4 linked regions of the Saccharomyces cerevisiae S288C genome follow. The gene in region 1 interacts genetically with each later gene. Each region holds a gene or a part of one and is shown in the gene's direction. Other genes may lie near its edges.

What was found.
Region 2: mutations in FAU1 (region 1) and RQT4 together harm fitness more than expected from each alone (negative genetic interaction), as found in Saccharomyces cerevisiae (2 studies listed by BioGRID).
Region 3: mutations in FAU1 (region 1) and RCK1 together harm fitness more than expected from each alone (negative genetic interaction), as found in Saccharomyces cerevisiae (2 studies listed by BioGRID).
Region 4: mutations in FAU1 (region 1) and ADE3 impair growth when combined (synthetic growth defect), as found in Saccharomyces cerevisiae (2 studies listed by BioGRID, with this or other methods).

Annotation. Positions count from the first base shown.
Region 1 is NC_001137.3:550,935-557,899, reverse strand, and holds FAU1 (5-formyltetrahydrofolate cyclo-ligase), read left to right. Parts: upstream 1-3,930; coding exon 3,931-4,566; downstream 4,567-6,965. Other genes in the region: TOG1 (Tog1p), read left to right, coding at 1-1,604; FMP10 (Fmp10p), read right to left, coding at 4,641-5,375; YER181C (uncharacterized protein), read left to right, coding at 6,104-6,427; SLO1 (Slo1p), read left to right, coding at 6,778-6,965. UniProt on the Saccharomyces cerevisiae protein: Only enzyme known to utilize 5-formyltetrahydrofolate (folinic acid) as substrate. Contributes to tetrahydrofolate metabolism in an alternative way of folate biosynthesis.
Region 2 is NC_001143.9:479,591-487,690, forward strand, and holds RQT4 (Rqt4p), read left to right. Parts: upstream 1-3,828; coding exon 3,829-5,421; downstream 5,422-8,100. Other genes in the region: ALY1 (Aly1p), read left to right, coding at 1-2,391; NTR2 (Ntr2p), read right to left, coding at 2,581-3,549; DBP7 (putative ATP-dependent RNA helicase), read right to left, coding at 5,554-7,782.
Region 3 is NC_001139.9:200,937-209,071, forward strand, and holds RCK1 (putative serine/threonine protein kinase RCK1), read left to right. Parts: upstream 1-6,096; coding exon 6,097-7,635; downstream 7,636-8,135. Other genes in the region: AIM14 (putative metalloreductase), read left to right, coding at 1-1,337; YGL159W (uncharacterized protein), read left to right, coding at 1,785-2,897; carbonyl reductase (NADPH-dependent) ARI1, read left to right, coding at 8,070-8,135.
Region 4 is NC_001139.9:902,845-910,341, forward strand, and holds ADE3 (trifunctional formate-tetrahydrofolate ligase/methenyltetrahydrofolate cyclohydrolase/methylenetetrahydrofolate dehydrogenase ADE3), read left to right. Parts: upstream 1-3,089; coding exon 3,090-5,930; downstream 5,931-7,497. Other genes in the region: YGR201C (uncharacterized protein), read right to left, coding at 1-353; PCT1 (choline-phosphate cytidylyltransferase), read right to left, coding at 630-1,904; phosphatase YCH1, read left to right, coding at 2,393-2,839; YGR204C-A (uncharacterized protein), read right to left, coding at 6,217-6,330; TDA10 (putative ATP-dependent kinase), read left to right, coding at 6,369-7,241. UniProt on the Saccharomyces cerevisiae protein: Cytoplasmic isozyme of C-1-tetrahydrofolate synthase.

The DNA of each region.
Region 1 (6,965 bases):
ACTGGTTTATGTACGGAGTACAATTGATGGAACAGCACCACAAGGCGTTGGATCGTAAAAGTTCCAAAAAATTACTTCCTTTGAAATATTTTCTTGAGCAAGATGAGTTGATTTTTTGTCTCTGTCTTGAATATTTTGAAAGATCCCTATTTTCGACAATGTACGACTTGACTATTTTAAAGGGCTTAGTCTCGTTGATGAAACACAGATATTGGATAGACGATCCTTTTGTGCTGGGAAGAATTATTTCCACGATGTCCAGGCGAAGTTTGGATGCTGGTTTGAATCGTTGGGAATATTATATTGGTCAGGATGAGGACACTGCCGAAGAATATCGTAAGTTATGGTGGGACTGCTACTGGTGGGATAGATGGTATTCATTGGTCACCGGTAAGCAGCCATTGATACCACATGAAATGACTTCGTGTCTCTTTCCCAAGGATGTGGTTGGATTAGGGGTAGATGATTCGATGGACTGTTTTACTTTAATAAACTTGGTGGAGCTCGACCCAAGTAAGTTTGATATTTGTATCTCTTTCGGCTATATTCTATTAACGAAAATTATTACAGCGGTATTCTCTGGTTTGCTTTATAATCGACACTTTACAGACTACAGATTATTTGCAACTCCTAACGCTAAAGACCTAAATGGAACCGCACGACAGCTTATGGTAGAGTTTTCAAAAATATGTAAAATTTTTCAGTGCATACAAGACAAACTAATCCCTTTCCTCAAACAATATTCTGAAAATAGTAATGTATTTGAACTATACACCCATTTCGGATTTGCAAAGGTTTGTTGTTTTCAGGGAATGGAGAGTTTAATTTTAAGGATACAAAATCTTCTACAAGAAAGAGAGAGAATTGAACTTGATTCCTGCGTAAAGGACATCAGGCTTCAAACCTTTGAAGCATCTGTAGATATTTTGACGGATGTTCTCAAGCACGAAGATACGTTCTATATTTTCCGTTGTTCGTGGTTCATATATGCCATCTTGATGAATATTACCTTGAATTTTATCGAGACCCCTAGAAGGAACTCGATATGTTATTTATCCTTGATGTGCCGCATGATAGCCTCATATAATGACTTATTTGTGAGCTCTGGCAATGTTAATTTCAAGGGCAACAACGCCTTCTCTAAAAAGTTGGAAAATGGAACAGCGGTTTCTTTCATCCTAACACGCATCTGCTGTCAGATGTACACACGTTCACAGAAAATGGCTAAGGAATCGCTGTTTTGTGAATTGAAAAAATATGGCCAGGCTTGCTCAGATGCTGGTCAAGCTGCGTTGGACATTGAATGTATCTGGTACAGGAATATTATAGGCGAACACAAAGAATCAAGCTTCCGTAAAGAAATTCTCAGCATTCTTGATAGGGAAATGGGTGATTTGGTGAATAATAGAGTTATTGGCGTACAGGGAAAAAATCAAGAAGGTGCTTGTTATGAGAAGTTGTCACCCAGCAGCACCAGTGTTTCAGTTGGCATGGACTTTTGTAGCCTCGAAAATTTTGTGACTGCAGAATCTCTACCAGACCTTCTCAATCTATTTTGGGAGGACACTGAATTTGGTATTACTAAAGAAAACCTCGGAGAGTAAAAACCAAGTATGCACCTAAACAATTGATCACTTTCAATTAGGAAATAAAATCCCTTGATTTAGACGAATACTGTAGAATGCAATAAAAGGTTTTGTGATTCTAATCTAGTCCCTTACGTTATGCACCGCTTTCAGGAAGGTTATGGGCTGTACCATGAAATCAAAGGTGGCTCATAACTAGTAAGTAAAAGTAAATGTCCTTTTTTTATGCAAGATCTAGAACGATTCGAGTATGGTGTTGATACCACTGTGGTAAGTCTTTCAAGCTACACGCAATTACACACACTCACAAATCTAGTTGTATTTACTCCTTTTATTGTTGCTAGTCTAATTATTCGTCCCACGATTTTATCGTTCTTTGAGTATTTCGGGTCTCAAAAGATTGCTAAATGAAATAACTCTTAAAAATTGCTTCACATAGTCTTGTTGTTACATTCACAATTCACAGCTTTCCGTTGCTCATCGCTTGATAGGAATATATTATGATAGGGATTATCCTGAAAGTTTCAGCAAAACGATAATTACTTCAGCTTTTCTTCGTCTATTTAACCTAGTTTTCCGTCATAAATCCGTTCTCTTAAAAGCACACCTACTCCACTTTCTGAAATAACATAGATATTGAATTTGACTTAGATTCATATATTAGAAAAATCGAATAGTTTCCTGTGCCTAGAAATTCTAAGGTGCCATTCCAGAGGATTTTTATGACAAAGATGAGATGTAAGAATCAACTTTTTTTAATATTTTATATCTTTCATCAAAGAAACATCACAATGTATATTACAAAGTGGAGAAGCATCCAAAATATAGCTGCAGTGAGAATTCATTGAACTGTATCAACTGGGTGGAAAATGTCACAGTCACTTATGGAATTCTATGATTTTATTCAATAGAAAACATTTAGTAAAGCTGGTAACCGACCTTTTTTTTTTACACATTTTTTTTTTTTTTGCTGATTATACCTTGCATTCTAACACCGGGTTCTGATGTTATCACCTACTTTGTATCTCGCATCATTCTTTATTTGGTAGACACGTCCCAAAATGGAGGATGCGCACTAACGAAAATGAAGGATAATGCAGTGAGAATGATAATTTTGATATTGATAGGATCAATTGAAAGCATATCACATGTTTTTTGTGAAATGTTGTATAAGAGATAGCGCTCTTGTTGGGTTTCGATAGGGGGAATGTGGAGTATCTGATGTAACACTGTAGTCTTATTTCTTGTCATAAAGAGGGACTGATTGGGGTGAGGCATATTATATTATAGGAAAAATTGCAGAATATCTAGGTAGTAGTCGCTTCAATAAATTTTTTTCCGACACAAGAATAATGAGACAAATCGGACTATATTTGACGATTAAATAAACCCAAAGCACCCCTATGCTATATGGGGGAACTTTAGAGTAAACAAGGTTGAAATACGTCAATTTGTAATTTCATAAAATACGTGAGGTCTTTTTGTGAGAGATACTTGCCCATTTAGATTTTTGTCCATATCGTGATAATTTTTTTGAGTTTTAATTAATGTGCTCCACCATCACAGAGTGTGTACCAGTGCAACCCACTCAGGGATATGCTTTAAGTCATATATTCTCGCTCTATGGGAACCATAAGCTGGACACATTTCTTGAGGTTATTTAGTAGCGAAAAATGGCGCAATGTTACTCTTTCACTTCTATTATATGGGGCTACAATGCCAATAAGGATTAATGGGTAGCGATTGTGGTTTCTTACCTTTGTGTAGTTGCGTAGGCTTTTTAGTGTATCAGTGAGCAAATTTAGTCCAAAAAGATCGCCAGCGAAGACTGTCGTATCTGGATCATTCGTAGTATCGATAGCTTAGCGATATTCTCGAGGATGTAAAGACAGCAGATTGGAGTTCTGATAATTTTTCATTACTTTTCAGTGAGAGAGTGCCTTTCTCGTTTTATATCTCAATCCTACCCGTAGAACTGGTCTGCTATTCTCATTTATCATTTTATTTCAAAAAAACCTTCAGGAGACAAACTGATTCCATCAAAGGCCTGTTTGCTATCTAGGACAATATTCGAGCTTAGTAAGTCACTTCCTGAAAACCATTCTGCTTGCGAGCCCGAAGCTTTGTGGCAATCAGTCTTCCACATCTGTTTGCAAGGGTGTTTTATTTCATGTCGTGAGAGATTTGTGATTAAAGCTGTTTTTATTAATCAGTTAGCAGCTTCATTCTCTTGAAGGATATATATAATTTTCTCAGATTTCTTCCGAATAATATTTAATCATTGAAATGGCAAAAATAAAAATTACTGTCAGCTACGCTATCTTTATATAGCTACAAAAAATTAATGGCCACTAAGCAATTACTGAGACGTCAAATCAAAAGGGTAATAAATGCTCTTGACTACGATATTATCGCTGCAGAGTCGCATACTATTTCTCAAGCAGTACGCTCATTGATCGCTTCCGCCAATTCTAGGCGTGTAGCGTGTTATATGAGCATGGATAAAGGAGAAGTAACGACTGGAGAAATCATTAAGAATTTATTTCAAGATGGCCAGGAGGTCTTTCTGCCAAGATGTACTCATACTTCTGAATCGAAACACTTCAAATTACGGGAAGATCATCATCCACATTTAATATTCCATCGAATGAGTAGTTTGAAAATGGTTCGTGATTTGAAGCCTCAAGGTCCATATCAACTAAAAGAGCCTGAACCGCATATTGAGGAATCAGATATTCTAGATGTCGTATTGGTGCCTGGAGTGGCGTTTGATATTAAAACTGGTGCAAGGATGGGTCACGGTGCTGGGTATTATGACGATTTTTTCCAACGGTATAAGATACTGCATGAAGGCCAAAAGCCCCTCCTAGTTGGACTATGTCTTATGGAACAGGTGGCCTCTCCAATTCCTTTAGAAAAACATGATTATTCCATGGATTGTATAGTATGCGGAGATGGATCCATACATTGGTTTCAATAATTTCATATATGTATTATTTACATGGTACAGCTATTGTATAAATAAATAAATAAATAAATAAGTAGACGGCAAATCTATTTTTCTTCTTTTGGATTCCCTTGTTCGCTAGAAAACGTGGCATTAGCTTTGACCAATGTCCTGTTGCCACTTTGGTCCATAAGTTCAGCCTTTAATTTAGTTTTGTTACCGTATTGCTGAAGATCGGTGGTTCTTACTACAACAAATTGATTAGCTAACGTGGGGAACTTGTACGAGATACTCAAATTCTTGGTTTCTTGGTTTATATTTTTTGTTCCTTTTTCGAGTCTAATGGCCTCCTTCATTAAATCTTCAATAACTGTTGCTAAAATGCCTCCGTGAATTAAGAAAGGATAACCAGTAAGTTTCATTCCTAAATGGTATAGCCCGACAGTTTCACGCCTACTGGGGTTGTAGTAAACTCTTGGTGGTATAGCGACGCCACCTGGTGTATTTAATGCCCTTGACACTAACAAGTTCTCCTCTTCATTAGCAATCACTTGTACAAAACCAGCATTCTCCAACTGTTTTACTATGGGTAGGCCATTTAAACGTCTATTCAGATCAGCGTGATATTTGACGACTTCATCTGCGTTCTTGGGTAGGGCATCATATCTCCAATAAGCTAGTAAGTCCGTGAACGTCATATGCTGTGTCAAGTACCACCCTCCAAGAAAACTTCCCCCAAAAATTGTCCATGGAATCCATCTTCTTTTGGGTTTAGAGGCTGTCTTGAAAACAACGCCATTTGTATACGTTCTTATCTGGGCTATTGCGATTCTTTTAAACATCTTGGCCTTGCTGGTACGGTCTCTTTCTCTTCCTTACTTTTCTTAGTTTCTTTATAAACTCTTTGTGCACTTTGTGAGTTTGTTCCTTTTCTGCCAAGGGGTATGCCTCATCGAAAATTAATCAATCTTTAAATAAGGTATTATGTTAAATAAATGAAATGTAAAATGTGTCGCTAATGGAGTACTTAGAGACATTTTTGGAAATCAGTTTTGTGAAATATTAGAAAGAATTCCTTTTGTTTATTTGCTCAGAGTACAACATCTCAAGACTTTTATTCCTGTTGCAAACCAATGTTCACGTACGGTGACCCAAAATGATGGCAGTCATAATCAAATCTAATGGAAGTTGAAATCAAGAAACGATAATGTAATAGGATTGTAAATTACAACTTACAAAGCAAAAGAAGTAATAATAATATGCTATTTAGAATTGCCGATTCTCTTTTATTGATTCCTGTATCTTTTGAGGAGAACTTCTAGTATATGTCTAATGTCGTTTTACTAGAAATGGGACCCCTGAAAATCGTCAGCAACTTTCAACTGAATCTGAGAATGATGCTCAAGTCGTCATTTTATCTTGCAGAAGCTAAGTGCAGGAGTTGATAATACAGCAGAATTAAAAGTGACAACGCAAGAAACAAAAACAAATGCAATCTCAATATTATGTGAAATTGATGATTTCGTAGCGAATCATGCGCACTGTGGGAGAAGCCTGGGTATAATTATGTATGCTAATACTGTTACGTTTATCTGAGGTTTGTGTGAATTTTGTGATAATTATCGGGATTCCATTGTTGATAGAGGCTTCAATACTATGTATACAGAACATACTAGAACTTCTCCTCAAGGGTATAGGGATCCTCAAATTTAATCGGTATTTGCATACAATAATATTACGATTATTTTTCCTATCGTTTTATATGCTTCATTTTCCCATTACATTATCAATTCTTGCATTTCAGCTTCCATTAAACTTGCTAACTCTTTCTCAAGCTTCATTTCATCTTCCTAGATCTCATATGATACTATACCAGCAGCAAGAATGCTACTAAATGGATGATATTCTAGAGTTTCATTTCATCATCTACACGAAGGGATGGGGGCATCTGAAGTATTTGAAACGTTGCTATGATTTCATAATTTATGCAGGTTTAACACAGATTACAGGTCTCTTGGCCCAGTTGGTTAAGGCACCGTGCTAATAACGCGGGGATCAGCGGTTCGATCCCGCTAGAGACCAATTTTTTTGAAAATCGTAAAAAGGCCCAAAAGGGAGAGCACAGCACGTTCTGCTTAAAAAAATAAAAAATGATGTCTTCAATAAAACATCTTAAGGACCAGTTTGTAGATCTGCGAAGTTGTTGACTAGATAAATTATAATAGCAAACAAACAAATAGGACAATGTCAGCGGAGAACATTAGTACTGGCTCGCCGACGGGCAAGCAGCCATCCTCTGAAGTTAATCTTGGCGAAAGAGAAGCTGGAACAAAAAATGAGAGGATGATGCGCCAAACCAAACTTCTGAAGGATACATTAGACTTGTTGTGGAATAAAACCTTAGAGCAGCAAGAGGTGTGTGAGCAACTAAA
Region 2 (8,100 bases), on another chromosome or scaffold:
CAGGCGGATGACGGCATGAATTCTTTCACCTTAGAACATCACAGCTCAAATAATTCGTCCAATCGCCCATCTATGAGCGATGAAGATTATCTACTTGAAAAAAGCGGTGCTTCAGTATATATCCCACCAACCGCTGAACCCCCTAAAGATAATAGCAATCTAAGTCTGGATGCCTATGAGCGCAACTCATTGTCATCCGATAATTTGAGTAACAAGCCAGTATCAAGTGATGTTTCCCATGACGACAGTAAACTGTTGGCTATTCAAAAGACACCATTACCATCATCTAGTCGAAGAGGATCGGTACCGGCAAATTTTCACGGTAACTCTTTGTCACCTCATACCTTCATATCTGATTTGTTTACAAAAACATTCAGTAATAGTGGCGCTACTCCAAGTCCTGAGCAAGAGGATAACTATCTTACACCATCCAAAGATTCTAAAGAAGTTTTTATTTTTCGACCGGGCGATTATATTTACACTTTTGAACAGCCAATATCGCAATCTTATCCAGAAAGTATAAAAGCCAATTTTGGTTCCGTGGAGTATAAACTGTCAATAGACATAGAGAGGTTTGGCGCATTCAAATCAACTATACATACTCAATTACCCATCAAAGTCGTAAGGCTTCCTTCTGATGGATCCGTAGAAGAGACTGAAGCTATTGCAATTTCCAAGGACTGGAAAGATCTTCTTCATTATGACGTGGTAATTTTCTCGAAAGAGATCGTTTTGAATGCATTTTTACCCATCGATTTCCATTTCGCTCCTCTAGATAAAGTTACTCTGCATCGTATTAGAATTTATCTAACAGAGTCTATGGAATACACTTGTAATAGTAATGGAAATCACGAGAAGGCTCGTAGATTAGAGCCAACTAAAAAGTTTCTGTTGGCTGAACATAACGGTCCTAAACTGCCTCATATACCAGCTGGTTCGAATCCTTTGAAGGCTAAAAATAGAGGGAACATCCTCTTGGATGAAAAATCCGGCGATCTAGTTAACAAAGATTTTCAGTTCGAGGTGTTTGTCCCAAGCAAGTTTACAAACAGTATACGGTTACACCCTGATACAAATTATGATAAAATCAAAGCCCACCATTGGATAAAAATTTGCCTTCGTCTTTCCAAGAAGTACGGGGACAATAGAAAACATTTCGAAATAAGTATTGATTCTCCAATCCATATTTTAAATCAACTATGCTCACACGCGAATACTTTGCTACCGAGCTACGAGAGTCATTTCCAGTATTGTGATGAAGATGGTAATTTCGCACCAGCAGCAGATCAACAAAATTACGCAAGTCATCATGATTCCAATATTTTCTTCCCAAAAGAAGTTCTTTCGTCTCCCGTTCTTTCACCTAACGTGCAGAAGATGAACATTAGAATACCGTCTGATCTTCCAGTAGTGCGTAATAGAGCTGAAAGCGTAAAGAAAAGCAAGTCAGATAATACCTCCAAGAAGAATGATCAAAGTAGCAATGTCTTCGCATCCAAACAGCTGGTCGCAAACATTTATAAGCCCAATCAGATTCCAAGAGAATTAACTTCTCCTCAGGCGTTACCATTATCGCCCATCACCTCACCAATTCTCAATTACCAACCATTATCAAACTCCCCGCCTCCAGATTTTGATTTTGATCTAGCTAAGCGCGGCGCAGCCGATTCTCATGCTATTCCTGTGGATCCTCCATCATATTTTGATGTATTAAAGGCCGATGGGATTGAATTGCCATACTACGATACAAGTTCATCTAAAATTCCTGAACTAAAACTAAACAAATCTAGAGAGACATTGGCCAGCATTGAGGAGGACTCATTCAATGGTTGGTCTCAAATTGATGACTTATCCGACGAAGATGACAATGATGGCGATATAGCATCTGGTTTCAACTTCAAGCTGTCAACCAGTGCTCCGAGTGAGAACGTTAATTCACACACTCCTATTTTGCAGTCTTTAAACATGAGTCTTGATGGGAGAAAAAAAAATCGTGCCAGTCTACACGCAACATCAGTGTTACCTAGTACAATAAGACAGAACAATCAGCATTTCAATGACATAAACCAGATGCTAGGCAGTAGTGACGAAGATGCCTTTCCCAAAAGCCAATCATTAAATTTCAATAAGAAACTACCAATACTTAAAATTAATGATAACGTCATACAATCAAACAGCAATAGTAATAACAGAGTTGATAATCCAGAAGATACAGTGGATTCTTCAGTCGATATTACAGCATTTTATGATCCAAGAATGTCATCAGATTCCAAATTTGATTGGGAGGTAAGCAAGAACCATGTTGACCCAGCAGCCTACTCGGTTAACGTTGCTAGTGAAAACCGTGTACTGGACGACTTTAAGAAAGCATTTCGCGAAAAGAGAAAATAAGTACATTATTTTCATTCTCCGACAGAATTGCTACCATTTTACTTTGTGTCCTGTGATTCAATAGTGTACAATATATTGGACATTTTATAGTATACAAATATACACCATCAATCTATACATCCATATCACTTGTCGTAAAGATATCCCTTTTTAATAGTACAGCGATTAAAAAAATAACATGATTAACGTTCAGTTACCAATGAGCTTATTTATTAGGCTTGCTTTAGATTTTTCCAAGTCAATTTTTGTTTTTTCTAACGCTTGCAACCTCATCTCAACCTTCTTCCTTTGCAAGCAGATCTTCGAAACCATCTCGTTTATTCTCTCAATGCTGTTCCCACTTTCATCATCGTCTGGGAAAAGTACCGGTAAGGGCGTGATGATTTTCTCATTCGATTTGTTTATATTTCCTTTGCTTAAAAGCTGGGTTTCCCATTCTTCATTAGTTCTGTAGGGCACTTCATTTATGGCCTTCTCTATAATCTTTCTTTTAGAATCCTTTTGAATAGCAATTTGATTATCCGTGAGGGCTAGCATTTCGTCTTGAAAGCCTTGCATTTCATCGTCACTGAAGTTCGTAATCTCCTTTTCATTGTTACGTTTCAGACCACCATTTAATCTTATTGTCTCCATAATTTCGCGTTTATCCTCACTGTCCAACAATTTTACATAATCTCTTTCTGTTGTAACATCACTCTCACTAATTTTCCTTCTAGATAATGACTTCTGTGCTTTCAGTTTTGCAATTTCTCCTCGGGTTGGTATACTACTAATGTGCTCACCTTCGGAGCTACTGCCAGCCTCTGAAGAATCACTTAATAGATGATGATTCCCCTCCATCAAGTCCTCCATATTGAGAATTAGCAAATCATCTTTGTTTCGCGTCGATGCATTGGTATTTTTCTTTGAATGGTAAAGATCTTCATAATGCGAATTATCCTCCTTTATTGCTTGTTCGCCATCAAAGGTAATGTCGCGCTTAGGAACTTTTTTAAACTTTATTGGTTGTAATACACAAATGTCGTTGTCATCATCTTCAGAATCGTTCGACACTAGGGGCTTAATTTGCTGCATTGGCTTATGCGCAGAACCATCAATTCCAACCTCCTCAGGAGAACCACTTGGTAACCTAATTTTATTTCTTTTCTTGATCGCCATAATGTGTTCAAATGCTATAACATTGCTAGGCAGAACTTGACGTAACTCGACCAGTTATATTGCTTCTTCAAAGCACAAATTTATGATGATTGCTTTCAGTTATGAGGTTCATTTCGATATTCTTTATGATCTTCGCTTGCCGGGTATCGGACAAATATTGAAATATTATACAGCAAGAAAGAGGCATAAAGAGCCTGGCAGCAGCAAATAATGGCAAAGTGAACGTAGTCCGAGAAACAGTGGCTTAATTATTTAACCTTGGGTTTGCAGTAATTAATAATGACAAGAAAGCAGGCTATTGACTATGCAATCAAACAAGTTCCGCAAATATTGCCTTTGGAAGAGTCTGATGTAAAAGCGCTGTGCGAACAAGTACTGAGTACATCATCTGATGATCCAGAACAAATTGCTTCAAAATTTTTGGAGTTCCTAGGTCATGAAGATCTATCGTTTGAATTTGTAATGAAGTTCAATGAATTATTGAATCAGAATGATAAAAAAGAGGAAAAAAAAACGAAAAATGTGCATCTTGAACATACTGCCCCCACTTCATGGAAAAATGAATCAAAACAGCCCACTAATAACTATATCAATAAGAAGGGAGATGAAAAACCAAAAAAATTAAAGGATGAGAAGAAAAGCTCGACAACGAGGCCTACCGTTCAACCATCAAATCAATCTACGCAATCAAACCCCATAAAGGAGAAAAAAGAGCACAGATCAAAGGGGAAATTACAATCGTTACAAGAAATAGACGAAGCAATCAAGATGCTAGAGCTTCGAGATAGCGGTTCTTCTAAAAATTGTAATTGTCAAGGTACAAGGCATCCAGTTTTCGACATCGCGCCAAACTGTCTTCACTGTGGTAAAGTGGTTTGTGTTATAGAGGGATTGAATAAAGGTAAATGCGGTCATTGCCATGAACAGTTGATTTCTGATAACGAAAGAACCCAAATGGTAGAAATTTTAAATCAGGAAAAAAACGAACTAAACGGTTCATCATCGTCCTTATCCAATGCGTCAAATGGAGCTAATGTCCCAAAGAAGAAGACTAAAACCTACAAAATAACTTCCGGTATGGGTAAAAATTTATTTGCTGAACAGGACAAATTATTTGATTTCATCGAAAGGAAAAGAGAAAGAGAAAGAAAGCGTAATGAAGTGTTGAAATTGCAGGAGGAAAAAGAAGAGAGCGAAGCAAAGGAAAGACAAGCGAGCGAGCATGACCATAAAGCTGAGGAAAACCCGGAGTTGTTAGCAGCACAAGAACGATTAGATAGACTTTTATATTTCCAAGACACTTCGGCAGAAAGAACAAAAATTATTGATAATGCCAGCGATTTTGACATGAATCAGGAGGTGGGTTTATGGGGCAGCGCAAGAGAAAGAGCTCTTGCGTTGAAGAAGCAACAACGTAATTTGAGAAAGTGGGAAAAAGTAGAAAAGGAACGGAATGGCAGGCGCGAGAAGTACGTTGTTAGCATGAATATAGGTTCAAACGGTAAAGTTACTATGACAGAAGTCCCTAAGGATACAGAGAACGTAATTGCAGGTTCAGATGATGACATCAGTGATATAAGTGACGAAGAAGATATCAGCGACCTTAAACATATACACGCTCTGAAAAGTGAAATAAATACAACGAAATCCTTGGAGAATTTGCATTTACAGTCCAAAGCATGGGATTACGAACGTGATAAAAAACAATTCGATAGGCCTACGTATGTGAAAAAAAATTCAGATACTGCACAACAGAATAGAAAAACGGAAGAAAAGGCTCACGACATGCAAGCTTATGATTTAAAGTCAAGAGTACAAGTGGACCAAAATGCAGACGCATCAGTAGAACAGAATATTCTTGCTGTACTTTGATGAATGGTAAAAGTTTATATTATATATGATAGAGGATATAACCGTTATTCATTTTCTGTAGATTTTATCATTTTCTTTGTCTTCATAGTATACAATTTTTTTTTATATGAATTAATGCTTGTTCTTGTCTATTTAGTAGTTAAACTCACTTGCTATTTGCTTCTCTGCCATACGAGCCATACGAAACATTTTATTTTTAGAGTTTTCCTTAGTTGGCTTCTTTTCACTATTACCATCCTTACTACTTTGCAATCCCATAGCCTTTGGCCTTTCACGTAACCCAAAACTTTTAGCTAAATGGCCTAGATGTAAGAACTTCACGTTGAAAAACTTCTTTTCTTGAGAGATATGCGTTGCGTAAGCCCTCACATGACTAATGAAACCTTTAACGGCCAAATTTTTGAATGCGGAATCTCCCACTACTCGTCTTTCTATATTCAAATGCCATGTCGTAGCATTGGTATCCCACTCATATTCTTTATCGCCCACGTCTTTATTTTTGGACGATTTCTCATCTTTTCTAATGAATTTATCATTTCTGTTGACATTCACATCTTTGAAAGCCGGCATTAGTATTTCTTTATCGAATTTCAGTAATTCCCAACCCATCGGATGATACGGCTGGATATAGTCCATATATTTTTCTTCTTCGCCAGGAAGTAAAAATAACAAACTTTCACCCTTCTCACCGGCCCTTGCTGTACGACCAACTCTATGTAAATGGTCTTCAACAGCAAATGGTGGATCCAACTCAATAACAGATCCAACGTGGGGAAGGTCTAGGCCTCTACTTGCGACATCTGTACAGAACATAATAAGATGTTTTCCCTTGGTGGCTTCATTATCACGAGCAAAATGCTGCAATGTAGAGGTTCTCATTTGTTGGGATAAAGAACCGTGCAATTTATAAATCACTACATCTGGGTCCCTAGAATCTGAAAAACAAGGAAACATAGTGTTTCCTTTTGTCAATAGTCTTACAGAATCACCCGTTAGATTTTTATGGTGCCCGTCACTTCCTGAAAATGCGTCATAATGAAACTCCACGCTGTCTGAACATGATACGAATACGATTGTACGCAGCGTTTTGGACTGTTGACCGGAAGCGATGAAATCTTTGGTAATGTTGTTCAAAGTAGCAGCTAATGTTACAAGACGCAACTTTGGTGGGACAATAGTAATCCTCTGCAATAGTTGATCGGGCGCAACCGTTACTATATCAGAATCTTTCTTGGTACCGTTGCTAATCAATTTGTAATCTTTCAACGCCACGTTTCTTAACCTATTAACACCATCAGTAAGTGTAGCACTACATAACATGTGCACTAACTTATGCGGTAGCTTGGGAAATTTTTCGGAGTTGATGGGAATATCGTGAACAATTTTAATAATTTCACTGATCGTCTCATCAAAACCCAATTCCATTAACTTATCTCCTTCATCCAATACGATATACCTTAGAGATTGACTCAATTGCTCCTTGATAACTTTTGTATTTTGTAAATGATCCAAAACACGACCTGGTGTACCGATTATGAAATTGCAACCCTTACGCAATCTAGCTTTTTCTGATTTCTTACGTTCTCCACCAATCAATAAACATGGGACCAAGTAGTGACAACATGACACAAGCGTGGAACAAACATGATATATTTGTGATGCTAGTTCTCGTGTAGGAGCAATAACCAATGCAAATGCACCAGAAGTACGATCAACATGAGTATCCATGTTCAAAATAGTAGATATTATAGGTAAAAGATACGATAAAGTCTTACCTGAGCCTGTTTGGGCGTGAATGAAAAAATCGTTCTTCCCCGCGTTACCTATTATTTGAGGTATGGCCTGCTTCTGGATGCTCGTAGGCTTTTTAATACGCATTTTTTGCTCCAGATGAGAAACAAGAAGACTAGAGACACCTAAAGACGCAAACTGATCACCTTTCAAGGGCGCGTTAGACGGATTGATGGCAACGTTTTCATCATGAATATTAGTGTTTACCGCAGTTGTAATCTCTCTGTTAGATGTAAACAGGGATGAAACAAACTGAGAATCGGCTGGTAGAGTTCTCCCTTGAGTGTTATGAGCATTTCTACCCTTATATTTTTCCTGCTCTTCAGAACTATAGGAACTCTCCTTATGCAATTTTTTAATAGAATTCTCGCCTCTACCCGGAATTATCCCTTCGTCCCCTGTAGTGTTCGCCTTTCTTTTCCTCGAGACTGTCTTGCCCTCAAGCTTCATTTTCATTCTTCTTCTATCCTTCCATCTACCGCCTGTCACCTTGGCAGCTTGCTTATAGGAACTTCCTGCAGTGTCCTCATTGGTAGTGAAGTTTAACAGCATAGAATCTTCATCGCTCATCTTGGTGTTAAATTGCTGAATAAGTATGCTTATTTGGAATATGAATAATCCCAAAGGAAAAAGAATATAAACAATCGTACTTTCTTAAATTAGAAATATCACATACAAGTACTCAATCTTTTATTTTCCTAAGCTCATCGCAAATTTTTCAAGTAAAATGGAAACCTAATATGTCAGGGTTTTTAATCCATATTGTTAGGGCAACATTCAATTTTAAACTGAAATTTTATAAAAACTCTGTTCATTTTTCAGGCCTTAGGGTTAGTATTCTGACAAAATTATTCAAGAAAAAAAGAAATGTTACAATGAATGCAAAAG
Region 3 (8,135 bases), on another chromosome or scaffold:
ATTGCACCTACACTGATTTTATACCGTTCCATAAATGGTTTTCACGTATTATCACCGTGATTGGTTTGCTTCATGGGATTTTCTTCATCATTAAGTGGGCGATAGACGATAATGTCTCTCTAAAGCAAAAATTGATTCTGAAAACTTTCAATTTTGCGGGATTCATAATATCAATATTGGTACTTTTTTTACTTATTTGCTCGATTGGGCCAATGAGAAGATACAACTATCGTTTGTTTTACATCGTACATAACCTGGTGAACGTGGCCTTCATCTTACTCACCCCAATACACTCTAGGCCAGGTGTTAAGTTCCCATTTCTTCTACTAAACTGTACCCTATTATTCATTCATATTATCAATAGAATAGTATTTGCGAAATCCTTGATGATTTTGAATAAGAATGCGAATTATTCAAAAACAAATTTAGTCCATGTAAGATTGCCCAGGGCTATTCTTCCAGATTATTTTGAACCAGGGTCGCATATTAGAATAAGCCCTTACAGAAGAATTAATCCCCTCTATTGGTTGCTACCATCGCATCCATACACAATTGCGTCTTTGGCAGAAGACAATTCAATTGATCTTATTATAAAGGAAACCTCTACAGCCGAGCCAGGTAGCCAGATAGAGTCTCTTCGTAGTAATCCAAAATCCTTTCATTTAGATCAAGAAAAAACCTATACTTTGATTAATAGTTATCCTCCCTCTGTACCCGAAGAATGTTATTCTCAAGGCACGAATATAGCTATTATATGTGGTGGGTCTGGTATATCTTTTGCCCTACCACTATTTAGGCATTTTTTTAACAAGGAGAATGTAAAATACTTGAAAATGATCTGGCTGATAAAAGATTACTCTGAATATGAACTTGTTTTGGATTATCTCAAGACAAATGGGTTGACTTTTGAGAAAAAACTCTCGAATAATAAGAGGATTTCAGTATTTATTAGTGGAGAATACACGGCGGAAACACGGTTAGACGAAATTACGACCAATATCGACGATGAAAACTCAGAATATGAAATGGGATCTTTCAACAATGAAGACGAAGACCTTTCGATTTCTAATTTCAATTCAGAAAATGCGGACAGCAATGACAATACGCCAGAGACAAGTCATAGCCCCACAAAAGAGAATGGAAGCATGATCGAGGTAAAATCCAAACACAGTTTTACTCTTTCCAACGAATTGAAGAGCTTCAACAATGAAAGTGCACAAGTGAACCAAAATGAAACATGGTTGTTTTCATGTGGTCCTCCCTCGTTATTACAATTGTCTAAAAAATATTGTAACGATGAAAGGATCAACTTTGTCTGTGAGACTTACGGATTATGAGGGGAAAAGAAAAGAATAATAATGTCTTACGCAATATGCTCGGAAATGATATTCCACGACATTAGATGCTAATTTATAGTATATAGAAAACAAAAAATACATATCTGTTTTTTAATGACCTTTAGTTTATATGCTTTCTTGCGCGGCTATTAGAATACACTTGACAGGTTGTACGCATTATTAATCGGTAAATGGAGATATATTAGAGATGATCGTTTTAAAATGGAGGCTGTCTGCAAAAAAATTGGGAGCTACATTAGCAAAAAGCTTCTTTTCTTGTTGTTCTCGGTTTATATTTCAAGAGGGCAGTAGGAAAAAGGATCGAAAAGCTCGGCCTGTGGCCATGTCCTCTAAAAATCAAATATAATTTACTGGCCAACGTTATCGGCTCTTTTTGATATCTATCATCTCTTTAGCTATTGTTATCTGGCAACTGATTCAACTGATATGAACAATTCCATAATTACTGATGATGAGGTTAGAGAGTTTTACTTAAACTGCTCTTCTCAAACAATTATTGAATCTCTTCTCAGCTTGCACGAGTCATTGAGATTATATTCTCAAAACCATGAGATACTGCTCAATAGGATGTTCAAAAAATTGGATGAAACCAATGCAGACTCTAACATATCCCATATATTCATGCCTGTTGTGAGCAAGGATTTTTCAGGAATAAAAATTCTTGTGAATAACAACAACAAAAATTTTCAAGGTGTGATAAATGTTATTGAGCCTGAAACAGGAAAATTAATCGGATGTTTTGAGGCTAAACAAATTACCGCTATAAGAACTGCCCTTGCATCGTGTATCGGTTTATATAAGCAACTCTCATGTTCCCATGATAAGTTGTTTAGATTTGAAAATGGCACTTGCTATTTAACATGTTTTGGTACCGGTCTCCAAGCATTTTGGCACATATACATAGCTATTAAACTAATCATGTCAGGGATTGTTGGCGAATCTTTGAAGTTAGTTGAAATAAACATACTATATCACAATAACATGATGAGTTTGGATCGTTTGAAATCATTGAAAAACTTATTTGGAAGTAATATAAAGATAGAGCTTAATCAGTATCAAATAAACGACATCAGTTCAGAAGGTAATGGCGCTGTTTCTAACAGTGATATTATCTTTGGTTGTCTACCTACTCTAGAGCCCAACTTGTTTTTGAGGCAGTTGCTAAACAGTAAAGCTTCTGTGGAGCAGAAACATACTTATATCTCATTAATTGGAAGTTACAAACCAGTGATGCACGAATGCGATAAGGAGTTGATTGATAAGTTCAAATCTGATAATGAAAGCGCTTGCATTTTGGTAGATTCAAGGGAACATACTTTATTGGAATCTGGAGAATTAATCGATTCCAATATCGCTCCACATAATCTCATCGAAATTGGTGAATTAGATACTTTGAAAAACACAGTTTTGAATTTGAACGAAAAGGGCTGCAAAAGAACTATCACCTTGTGTAAAATTGTTGGTCTAGCGGTTATGGACGTGGCGCTTGCTAAGGAATTCTTAAGCTTGAGAACAAAAAACACAGAAAACAAGGAATAAATTGCATCTTGGCTTCTAGTTTTTTTATATTCAAAAGGGTTCTTAAGTGTTTTTAAATATGATACTTTTTTTAATATCTTACGATCCGGAAGAGATTTTTGATGTTTACATATGAGCAGTTTGATAGAAATTTTGCAATTTTTTATATTTATTAAAAGAATAAAAGTAAAGTGCAGAAAGAAAACAACATCATAAAATATGAAAGAAAAAAAAAGGCAATGTTAGTGTTATGAAGGGAGAAACAATTACCGTATACTGTTTGCAGGTGTCTATCCTCCACGGTATAGCACGTTAGGACCATTTATTCGCGCTACGGATATAGAGTTTAAAATGACTTAATTACATGAATAATACCATAATTCTTATAACCGTCATCAATCTAACGAAAGCTAGGAGCAATTTTCAACATGTATTTCAAGAAATTAGCAATAGAAAAAGAATTGAACAGATATGAAGATTTTTGCCATATTTTAAAGAGAGGCTGGTGACTTTTCTCTGTCGATCTGTGCATAGCCAATATTAAAGTTATTTTTCATTAACGCGCATATGGAAAATAGACAAATGTCATAGGGTTATAGTTCTTAGATTTACTATTCTCTATTTGATGTCGGCGAAACAATGTTCCTGTTTTTTAACCATATTTATGTTCCACCTCGATAGCCGCTGATTATTAAAAAGATGTAGGCTTGTATGGAAATTTTCGAGACTCCATTTTTGGACGAAAGCAATGAAAATTATATACAGAATATTCCAGAAGATCACCTCAAAAATCCAAAAATATGATCAGTGATTTAACAAGAAAACCGAAGATTTCTATTGTTCCTTCGAAATTTTTTCAGTTTTATGTTCAATCTCTATGTTTTTCTTAAAATGATAAAAGGTCGTCCAGCTTGGTGAAGCTTACATTTAAATTAAATAAATTGGTGTGACTGAATAGAATAGCGTCCTTAATAACTAGAGATTACATTGTAGATGAATAACAACTAATTAATTCAAAAAAAGTAATCGTTAACTATTTCCGGAAGAAACAAAGGCTCATTATCAAATTTGATGATCACAACCAATGTGTATTTAAATAAAGGCCAATATCTCACGGTCTGTTGAATCTAAACTAACTATTGAAATATTCATTTGTTCAGAAAAAAAGATCATTAATATTACATGTACTGATATGCTAACAATCCAAAAATGCTTATACTACATATTGTTGTACACCATGGGTACCGTTAAATGACAGTGTAAACAATTGCAGAAGGAAATGTTACACTAGCGGTTAAACAATACTGAATTAAAGATTTTTTAGTTGAATATGATATGACAGTTATATACGTGAGCAATATAAGTCCCCACATTGAGTGTATGATAACTACCGGAATTACTATCATATTGTTCGTAAGCAATAATAAATCAATTAGTGTGGGTGTTTTATACCTCTCTCATATGAGTATATAAAGATCCTTATTTAATTTTGATTATACTATCTTCTAGCCTTCAATTATCGACATCGCTCACTTGAGCAGTTCATCTAAGAAAAAAAGAACTATAGCTAAATAACCCAGTATTATTTGTTTCGCTGTAGGTTGTTGCACAAGGGTTTCTTCTGTGAACATTTTGAATTGTACGCTTAAGATGATAATACCTAACTGATTCCAACCTATATTAGTAGAACCGAAACATACAAATAAGTGGTTGTTTGGCCGAGCGGTCTAAGGCGCCTGATTCAAGCAATATCTTGACCGCAGTTAACTGTGGGAATACTCAGGTATCGTAAGATGCAAGAGTTCGAATCTCTTAGCAACCATTATTTTTTATCTTTTTGGTTCTGTGATCAAGCTACCCGCGTTTGAAGCCGACTAAAGACGAGAAAAATTAGACCTTCATTTTTGCCTGTTTGCTGCATGTAAAAGAATGTTGGTTGAACATGTCGTTTAAGAGAAGAAATCGGGTACGGCGCTCTGGCTTTTAAAATTGAAGAAATTGGTGTTCTTCCGGTTAATACTTTGAACTCGGCTTTTCTTAACATGTAATAAAGTTTGTTACATCTCCCATAATTAAGTTTCTGGAACACGCATTGTTCTATTTTTAGACGGGAGACCAGAACTTCCTGATATATGACCGCTTTTTAGTGACTACGTATACTTTCTTTCTGCAATTACGTGTAAGAAAAAATTGATTTTTTATTTTTAAATTCACGGAATTTCAGACTGTGAAAACTTTGTAGTTCCAACTCACTTTGCTATGCAAGAAAATAATGAGGGGAAACAAAAAAAAAATGAGAGCGGAGAAAAGAACAATGCAGCTCAAGTATGAAGAAGAAAGTCACAGCAACGGAAATAAAAATCAAAATTGCGAAAATTGACAATCTTGACAATCGAAGCGGAAAAACAATGGAAGGTCCAGATACCTGTTGACCTTAAAAATGCAGAAAAATCGCCTTTATACGGCGACATTGTGAAAAATGACGTTAAAATCTTGTACATAAAAAAAGGGAATTACAAACTTGTAGTGTTTTTTTTTTTTAGGGGACTTGCATGAAAGTTAAATTTTATAGAAGTAATTAAATAGTCGATTTCCTTTCCTGTGTGTGACGAATCTAGATTTTTTTCATGTAAGAGACCCCGCCCTGCGGAGAGGGGCAAACAATTCTAGCAGAAAAAAATCAGTGGAAAAAAAAAAGAAATTCCGGATATGATAGAATATTTCTTCGAGAAACCTTTTGGATGAGGAGTGCCCTTCCATGAAGAAATTCTTCCTGCATCAGCACCTTCCCGGCAAGGCATTTCATTTTTTTTTTCCGAGAAGAAGATTTTTAAGTGGGCTACCCCACGCTTTCGGTGCCTATGGTAGCTGCATGATCACACAATGCACTCCCATTAAGAGTTTGTGAAGTGCATGAGATTGACATCTCGGCGTCCCTTAGTTTCCTGTCGGATTTTCAGTTATATGGAGTGGGTGAAGTCATTATCCGAATATTCGCGGATCATTGACGTATAAATACTTCATACTACTTCATACCAGATATTTCCTACATGTTGAAAGTCAATTGAAAAAAATAAATCATCACTTAACTCTTTTCCAGTGACACATCGCAAAGATTACTCAAATAATCTTCCTAAAACAATACTACCAGCATCTATTTCATGCAGCACCAAGCACAGAGGCTACATATCATATAAAATAAGTCATCATAGAGAAAAAAATGTCAGTAAACCCAGAATTTATAGCCGATGGCATCGATTTTTATCCAACAACGCCCGATGCCGCGTATTTCAATGCCGCTGATGGTAAAAATAAAGTTAACAGGATAAATGGTAACTCAGAAAATTTACACCACTCCTTTGCATCGGGTTGCCGTAGATCATCTCTTTCAGTCGACTTTAATGTTACCTCGTCCGATTCAGAAAAAAGTGAACAGAGCTGCTTGGAAAACAACTCTCAAGAAGACGAATATTTTTGTGACATTTTTTCCACTGAATTAAAATTAGATGAAACTTCTAACAAGTCAACCGATTATTCCAGTTCAAATCACCAGTATCCTGAACAACTGGAGTTGCACAATTATAAACTGCTCAATAAAATTGGTGAAGGGGCATTTTCCAGAGTATTTAAAGCAGTAGGCATCAACACGGATGACCAAGCTCCTGTTGCCATCAAAGCAATCATAAAGAAAGGCATTTCGAGCGATGCCATCTTAAAAGGGAATGATAGAATCCAAGGTTCCAGCAGAAAGAAAGTCTTAAACGAAGTTGCCATCCACAAACTGGTTTCGAAAAATAATCCGCATTGTACAAAATTTATCGCATTCCAGGAATCGGCGAACTACTATTACTTAGTGACGGAGTTAGTCACAGGTGGGGAAATATTTGATAGGATCGTCCAACTAACATGCTTTAGTGAAGACTTAGCTCGTCATGTCATTACTCAGGTAGCAATTGCAATTAAACATATGCACTACATGGGTATTGTGCATCGTGATGTCAAACCAGAAAACCTACTATTTGAACCTATCCCATTTTATGGCCTTGATGGGGACATGCAAAAAGAAGACGAGTTTACATTAGGTGTCGGCGGAGGCGGTATTGGTTTAGTGAAGCTAATGGACTTCGGACTAGCCAAGAAACTTCGGAACAATACCGCAAAAACTCCCTGCGGAACGATAGAATACGTCGCATCAGAAGTATTCACCTCCAAACGATATTCCATGAAAGTTGATATGTGGAGTATTGGCTGCGTACTATTCACGTTATTGTGTGGATATCCTCCGTTTTACGAAAAGAACGAAAAAACATTATTGAAGAAAATATCGAGAGGAGATTACGAATTCTTGGCGCCATGGTGGGACAACATAAGTTCTGGCGCTAAGAACGCAGTTACCCATCTTTTGGAGGTTGACCCAAACAAGAGATACGATATCGATGACTTCCTAAATGATCCTTGGTTAAATTCGTACGATTGTTTGAAGGATTCAAACTCAAATTCTTATGCCAGCGTGCAAAGCATACTAAATGATTCATTCGATGAGAGAGCAGAGACCCTACATTGTGCATTAAGCTGCCAATCTGAAAAACAAGATGACACCGAGTTTTCCAGAAGTGAAAGCTCGGAATACATATTTATGACGGAAGAAGACAGAAACCTACGGGGCAGTTGGATCGGTGAGCCAAAAGAGTGTTTTACCTTAGACCTTGCAACATCTTCTATATACCGAAGAAGGAAGAACAAGATATTCTTCTGGTAAACTCTTATCCAGTGGAAAACGCACCCAGCATATTCGAAAATATATCAACTGTCTCCCCTTTTTATACTAATAATTAATAGCATTCATATTGAAATAATAAAAAAGATACGTTTAATATTTACGCCAGCTCTCTAGTTACAGTTTCCTAACGCATACGTCATCAATTTGTTAAGATCGGCTTCGCTCTATAAAAATGTCGGCCGAAATTAGCATAGGATTTTCCGCGGTTCCGACCCCTATCCTAGAAACACGGAAAAACTTGCGAATAATTCCGGAATTTATTCTATGCAACTTTATGAAGACAAATTACTATAAATGAACCGCTCATTCAGAAAAACTATGTCTCGAGCTCAATGGATCTTACTACATAGTTTATAAAAACAGTAATTGTGCATTGTACAACTGTGCTAAACAGACTTAAAAAAGTAATAATTATGACTACTGATACCACTGTTTTCGTTTCTGGCGCAACCGGTTTCATTGCTCTACACATTATGAAC
Region 4 (7,497 bases), on another chromosome or scaffold:
TCACAAACCTCATTCAAGAAATCACTGTTGGAAAGCGATTCCCATCTTAAAATATCTGCACGAGTTTTGAAGTCACCTTCGGGACCCAACAACTGGCGCACAGCTTCCTTGTCGCTCGACAGATGGATCAAGTAGTAGTCAATAGCCATTGCCTCTGTAAGCGTCCACTCGTCATGCGGTCCAACAAAAGTTGGGTACTTACGCAAGGGAAACTCCCTTTCGTAAAGTTGCTGAGCGTCACTTGGATCAGCAAGCTTAACGTCCAGCTTCAAGGAACGCACTAAACCTCTTGGCACAATGGTCCTAATCAACTTTCTCTCCTTCAAATCAGTAAACAGTGTTCCGTCAGACATTTGTAGTTTTCTACACAAAGATGCCGAAATCAATGATGAGCAAGTATCGAGTTCGCTTCGCACTGCTACATCTAGGCTTTTATAAGGGGTGGTATCGTTTAAAGGTGCGGCTATTAAAAGGGATGAATACGTGGGAAACGGTTGCATTACAGGAAAAACAGCTTTTTATCTTATTATATCTTTAAATATGTACATACGCTTGTTTATACGTGGAGGCGACAAAAAGGGTTGGTTGAAGGGAGAGAGAAAGAGACGCACAGAGATTGGAGGAGGGGCTCAGTTCGCTGATTGTTTCTTCTTCTGTGTTAGGTTTTCCAAAGTTAACCTGTCGTTGTCGTCGTCATCTTCACTGGGAGGCGTTGAGTTAGTGTTTGAATCTGAATCTGAATTTGTATTCGTGTTGTTAGAATTTGTGTCTTCATCATCTTCCTGACTGAAAAGATTTCCATTGTCATCCGGTGATTTAGCGGTAGAGTTTTCGCCCGTAAATTCGTTGGCAAACTCTGTAGCCGGAGAGGCCTCCCTGATTAGCTTCCTAGTAAACGGATCATCCAAAAAATTCTGTTTTCTTTGTCGTTGATTTTGTTTCTTTAATTCATTGCCTATTAACTTGGAGTAGAGTTTTTTGCCCAACGTTTTCTTTAGCAAGATTTCACGGACTTCGAAGTACAAGTCTCTGGAGGCGTTATTCAAATTTGTCTGGTTTTTCTTGAAATATGACCTGAATTCATTGATGTGTTTTTTGAACTCCAGTTCGTTTTTCTTCAACCAAGAAACGTTCAGCTCCTGTCTGGTAGCACCCCTTGCAAAGTTTCTCATCAAATATTTGTCATAATCTCTGATGATCTTTGTGATAATATCACTTGTAGAGACACCATTGGTTCTTTGGGTAGTCAAGAATTTTCCCATCTCCTTTATTGGCTTGTAGATATCGTCGCTGTCGGCGCTAACGTAAGGAATATCGTCATGTGCCACGTAGTCAATCTTGTGTTCTAGTAGAAATTCTGGGGTGACACACCAGGGAGCGTTGGGCACGACTTCGTCAACCCATCTGCAGTGCGTTAAAGTTTCACAACGCTGCTTATCGGTCAGCACAGTCAAACCTTTTAGTTTGTGAGTGATTTTGTCGCTAGGCACACCAACTATCAGTGTTACATTGGGGAAAGCCTTCTTACACTGTTCCAGTTGCTTCATGTGGCCAAGATGGAAAAGATCAAAAACACCATCTGCATATATCCTGATGGGTCTATCCGTTGGAGGCAAATTGAATCTGAAACCTTTAGGACGATACTTGCGCAGTTCCTTGGGCAACTCGTTGGTGTAACGAGCCTCCTTCTCTTCAAACTCCTTCGTCAACCGGCGACGCTTGCGGGGAGTGAGCTGTGTGTCCTTATTTTCATCCTGGTTCTTACTCTCATCCTTATCCTCATTGTCCTGCTCTTCCGTTTCCTCACGCTGTCTTTTATTTTTATTTTTTTTAAATAGGTTTGATAGCGATGAGTTAGAAAGCTTAGCCCTAATCGAGGACTTCCCTGTTGTTGGGTTTGCCATTTTTCTTTGTGTCTGCTGTGCTTTGTACTACCAAGAGAGAATAGCAAGAGTGAAATTTGAAAGTTAAACAATACAATAAAGAAAAGTGACTGGCGTATGCAAGAAAGGGGAATGGGTATAAAAAATACAAGAACGGCAGAAAAAATAAAAGAAACAGGAGAAACAAACAATGGTAACTGTACTAAAACCAATACCAGATATATATTTCATACTTATTAAAAAGCGTTAAGAAACGAAGCGTAAAAACGTAAGAAAAAGAATGACTATATAACGGTAGGTCTTCGACTCATTTTTTTCTTCCTACATGCAAACGACAAATACGGGTAATGCACATTTCGCTTATTGGGTTCTTCCCTTTCCTTTTTTCCATTTTTTTCTTTCTGGCTGTCGCTAGCCTTTCTACTTCCTCCGCACATACAGTTTTCAGCACAGTATAGATAGCTGTGCAGCCAGATAGAAGCAAAAGAGAAGTCAATTGCAAAAAAAATATGGACTCGTACTCAATAACAAACGTAAAATACCTGGATCCGACTGAATTGCATCGTTGGATGCAAGAAGGACACACTACTACGCTGAGGGAGCCTTTCCAGGTAGTGGATGTGCGAGGCTCAGATTATATGGGGGGCCATATCAAGGACGGATGGCACTACGCCTATTCGCGCCTTAAGCAGGATCCGGAGTACTTACGTGAGCTAAAGCACAGATTGTTGGAAAAGCAAGCGGACGGCCGCGGAGCGCTGAACGTGATTTTCCATTGTATGTTATCGCAGCAGCGCGGACCGTCTGCAGCGATGCTGCTGCTTCGGTCGCTTGACACGGCGGAACTTTCTCGCTGTCGTCTATGGGTGTTGCGTGGGGGGTTCTCGCGCTGGCAATCCGTATACGGTGACGACGAGAGCGTTACGGCGGGTTACCTACCCGATCTGTGGCGTTGACAGGTTTACACAATCGCACGTGATCATATATTTGCCATGACTCCTCCCAGTGACAATTTTGTTCTTTTTTCCTCTTTATCGCTTTCGTACTATGGTCAGTCATTCATTCATTATATACGCGCTCTCCATAACCCGTAACTTTTTATTATATATAGACTCGTTTACAATACAACGATAGCGATACCATTCAATTGAAGTTGTGAGACCAGGTAACGAGACGAACACAACTTTACAAGTCAAATAAGAAATCATGGCTGGTCAAGTGTTGGACGGCAAAGCATGCGCTCAGCAGTTTAGAAGCAATATTGCTAATGAAATCAAAAGCATTCAAGGTCACGTGCCTGGGTTTGCACCTAACCTTGCCATCATTCAAGTAGGCAACAGACCAGACTCAGCCACATATGTACGCATGAAGCGTAAGGCAGCTGAAGAGGCCGGCATTGTTGCTAATTTCATTCATTTAGATGAATCCGCTACTGAATTTGAAGTTCTGCGTTACGTGGACCAGCTGAATGAGGACCCACATACACACGGTATTATCGTGCAACTACCATTACCCGCTCATTTGGACGAGGATAGAATCACCTCGAGAGTGTTGGCAGAAAAGGACGTGGACGGGTTCGGGCCCACCAACATTGGCGAATTGAATAAGAAGAACGGACACCCATTCTTTTTGCCCTGCACGCCCAAGGGGATCATTGAGCTGCTTCACAAGGCCAACGTCACGATTGAAGGTTCCCGGTCCGTTGTGATCGGAAGATCTGACATTGTTGGCTCTCCTGTTGCAGAATTGTTAAAATCTCTAAACTCCACCGTCACCATCACTCATTCTAAAACCCGTGATATCGCATCATACTTACACGACGCGGACATCGTAGTCGTTGCCATCGGCCAACCAGAATTTGTGAAGGGTGAATGGTTCAAACCAAGAGACGGCACTTCCAGTGATAAGAAAACCGTGGTAATTGATGTTGGCACCAACTACGTTGCTGATCCTTCCAAAAAGTCCGGTTTCAAATGTGTTGGTGACGTTGAGTTCAATGAAGCAATCAAATACGTCCATCTAATCACTCCAGTGCCCGGTGGTGTGGGCCCCATGACGGTGGCTATGTTAATGCAAAATACCTTGATTGCTGCCAAACGCCAAATGGAAGAATCCTCGAAGCCTTTGCAGATTCCTCCCTTGCCATTGAAGTTGCTAACACCTGTTCCTTCCGATATAGACATCTCCAGAGCACAACAGCCAAAGCTTATCAACCAGCTTGCTCAAGAATTGGGTATTTACTCTCATGAGTTGGAGCTGTACGGACATTACAAGGCCAAAATTTCTCCTAAAGTCATCGAAAGGCTGCAGACGCGCCAAAATGGTAAGTACATCTTGGTGTCTGGTATCACACCAACACCACTGGGAGAGGGTAAATCCACTACAACAATGGGTCTTGTCCAGGCACTAACGGCTCACTTGGGCAAGCCAGCCATTGCGAACGTCAGACAACCCTCCCTAGGACCCACTTTAGGTGTCAAAGGTGGTGCTGCGGGTGGTGGTTATTCCCAAGTCATCCCAATGGACGAATTCAACTTACATTTGACTGGTGACATTCACGCCATTGGTGCGGCTAACAACCTACTTGCTGCCGCTATTGACACTAGAATGTTCCATGAGACCACTCAAAAGAACGACGCTACCTTCTACAACAGACTAGTGCCTAGAAAGAACGGAAAGAGAAAGTTTACTCCCTCCATGCAAAGAAGATTGAACAGACTGGGTATTCAAAAGACCAACCCCGATGATCTAACACCCGAAGAGATCAACAAATTCGCCAGATTGAACATTGACCCGGACACTATTACTATCAAGAGGGTGGTCGATATCAACGACAGAATGTTAAGACAAATCACCATTGGTCAAGCCCCTACCGAGAAGAACCACACAAGAGTTACTGGATTCGATATCACCGTTGCTTCTGAATTGATGGCTATTCTTGCTCTTTCAAAGGACTTGAGGGACATGAAGGAACGTATTGGAAGAGTCGTTGTTGCTGCTGACGTAAACAGGTCTCCAGTCACTGTTGAAGATGTGGGTTGTACCGGTGCCTTAACCGCTTTATTAAGAGACGCTATCAAGCCCAACTTGATGCAAACTTTAGAAGGTACTCCTGTCTTGGTCCATGCCGGCCCATTTGCCAACATCTCTATCGGTGCCTCTTCTGTTATTGCTGATCGCGTGGCTTTGAAATTGGTTGGTACCGAGCCAGAGGCAAAAACAGAAGCTGGTTATGTGGTTACTGAAGCAGGGTTCGATTTCACTATGGGTGGTGAAAGATTCTTCAACATCAAGTGCCGTTCCTCTGGATTGACACCTAATGCTGTGGTCTTGGTTGCTACTGTTAGGGCATTGAAGTCACACGGTGGTGCTCCAGATGTCAAACCTGGCCAACCTTTACCTTCCGCATACACTGAAGAGAATATCGAGTTTGTCGAAAAAGGTGCCGCTAACATGTGTAAACAAATTGCCAACATTAAGCAATTTGGCGTCCCCGTCGTTGTCGCAATTAACAAGTTTGAAACTGACACTGAAGGTGAAATAGCCGCCATTAGAAAAGCCGCTTTGGAAGCTGGTGCATTTGAAGCCGTAACCTCTAACCATTGGGCCGAAGGTGGTAAAGGTGCTATCGACTTGGCCAAGGCCGTCATCGAAGCTTCCAACCAACCAGTGGACTTCCATTTCCTATATGACGTTAACTCCTCCGTTGAAGACAAATTAACTACTATCGTTCAAAAGATGTACGGTGGTGCCGCAATCGATATCTTGCCTGAAGCACAACGCAAGATTGACATGTACAAGGAACAAGGTTTCGGTAACTTGCCAATTTGTATCGCCAAGACACAATACTCTTTATCCCACGATGCAACTTTGAAAGGTGTTCCAACCGGGTTCACTTTCCCCATCAGAGACGTCAGATTGTCTAATGGTGCTGGATACTTATACGCTCTTGCCGCCGAAATACAAACCATTCCTGGTTTGGCTACCTATGCTGGTTACATGGCCGTGGAAGTCGATGATGACGGTGAGATCGATGGCCTGTTCTAAGACAACTTAATTATATAGAATTTAATAAAGACAAATGCAAAAGTTTTTTTAAAGTATGGATGTATAATAATAATAACGATAATACGAACACTATTGGGACTAATAATGATTTATAGTTTTTTTTACACAGGGGATTTAACGTTCCGCGACCCTTTTTCCTTTAATTTAACCCCAGTTCCTTAACGTCGAAAATTTCCGATTCCGTTAAGGAGGAGAAAACCTAATTACCAAACGAAGCGGGGAGACGCATTAATGAGAACAATAAATGTATGAAACTTTTAGCAATCTAAATGATACTATACCAAGACAAGCGAACACTGGCTAGCACAATATTTGGGCGGAACGAAATAAAATAACGAAGATATACATAAGACACAAAGGAAAAAGCGTTCCATTGCATCTCTGAAGTGAATAATATAAAAAGTAGTAAAGCTAGAAATGTGTGATAAGTCAAAAACGGTATTGGACTACACGATAGAATTCTTGGATAAATATATACCTGAATGGTTTGAGACGGGAAATAAATGCCCCTTGTTCATTTTCTTCTCGGGCCCACAAGGCTCAGGCAAAAGTTTTACAAGTATCCAAATCTATAACCATTTGATGGAAAAATATGGGGGTGAAAAATCTATCGGTTACGCCTCAATTGATGATTTTTATTTAACTCACGAGGACCAATTGAAACTCAATGAGCAATTCAAGAACAATAAGCTGTTACAAGGACGTGGTTTACCAGGTACTCATGATATGAAATTGTTGCAAGAGGTATTGAACACCATCTTCAATAATAATGAACATCCGGATCAAGATACTGTCGTACTACCCAAGTACGATAAATCCCAATTTAAAGGAGAAGGGGACCGTTGCCCCACTGGTCAAAAAATCAAGCTACCAGTCGATATTTTTATCTTAGAAGGTTGGTTCCTCGGGTTCAACCCCATTTTGCAAGGAATTGAGAATAATGATCTTCTTACTGGGGACATGGTTGATGTCAATGCCAAGCTCTTCTTCTATAGCGACTTGTTGTGGCGCAACCCAGAAATCAAATCTTTAGGGATAGTATTCACCACCGATAACATTAACAATGTTTATGGCTGGAGACTACAACAGGAGCATGAACTAATATCAAAGGTCGGAAAGGGGATGACCGACGAACAAGTGCATGCTTTTGTGGATAGATACATGCCCTCCTATAAACTTTATTTGAACGACTTTGTCCGGAGTGAAAGTTTAGGTTCCATTGCTACATTGACGTTAGGAATCGACTCCAACAGGAATGTATATTCTACGAAAACGAGATGTATTGAATAGTGATGTTATGACCTTTTTTTTTACGCCTTTTTTTTTTTTTTTTTTTTTTTTAATTTATCTCACTTTTCCCTTCTATTTTATGTACTAACAGATAATTTTATAATGATTTCATGTATTTTTGGTTCAGAATTTTGACAAGGCAACTCTTGAATAATTGTCGTATGCAAAAAAAATTGTTTATCTGTTACATATCCATCATAAAACTTTTATAGAGCTTTTATTGTCCTTCTTATACAAATACCGTTCAGAGGCTGTC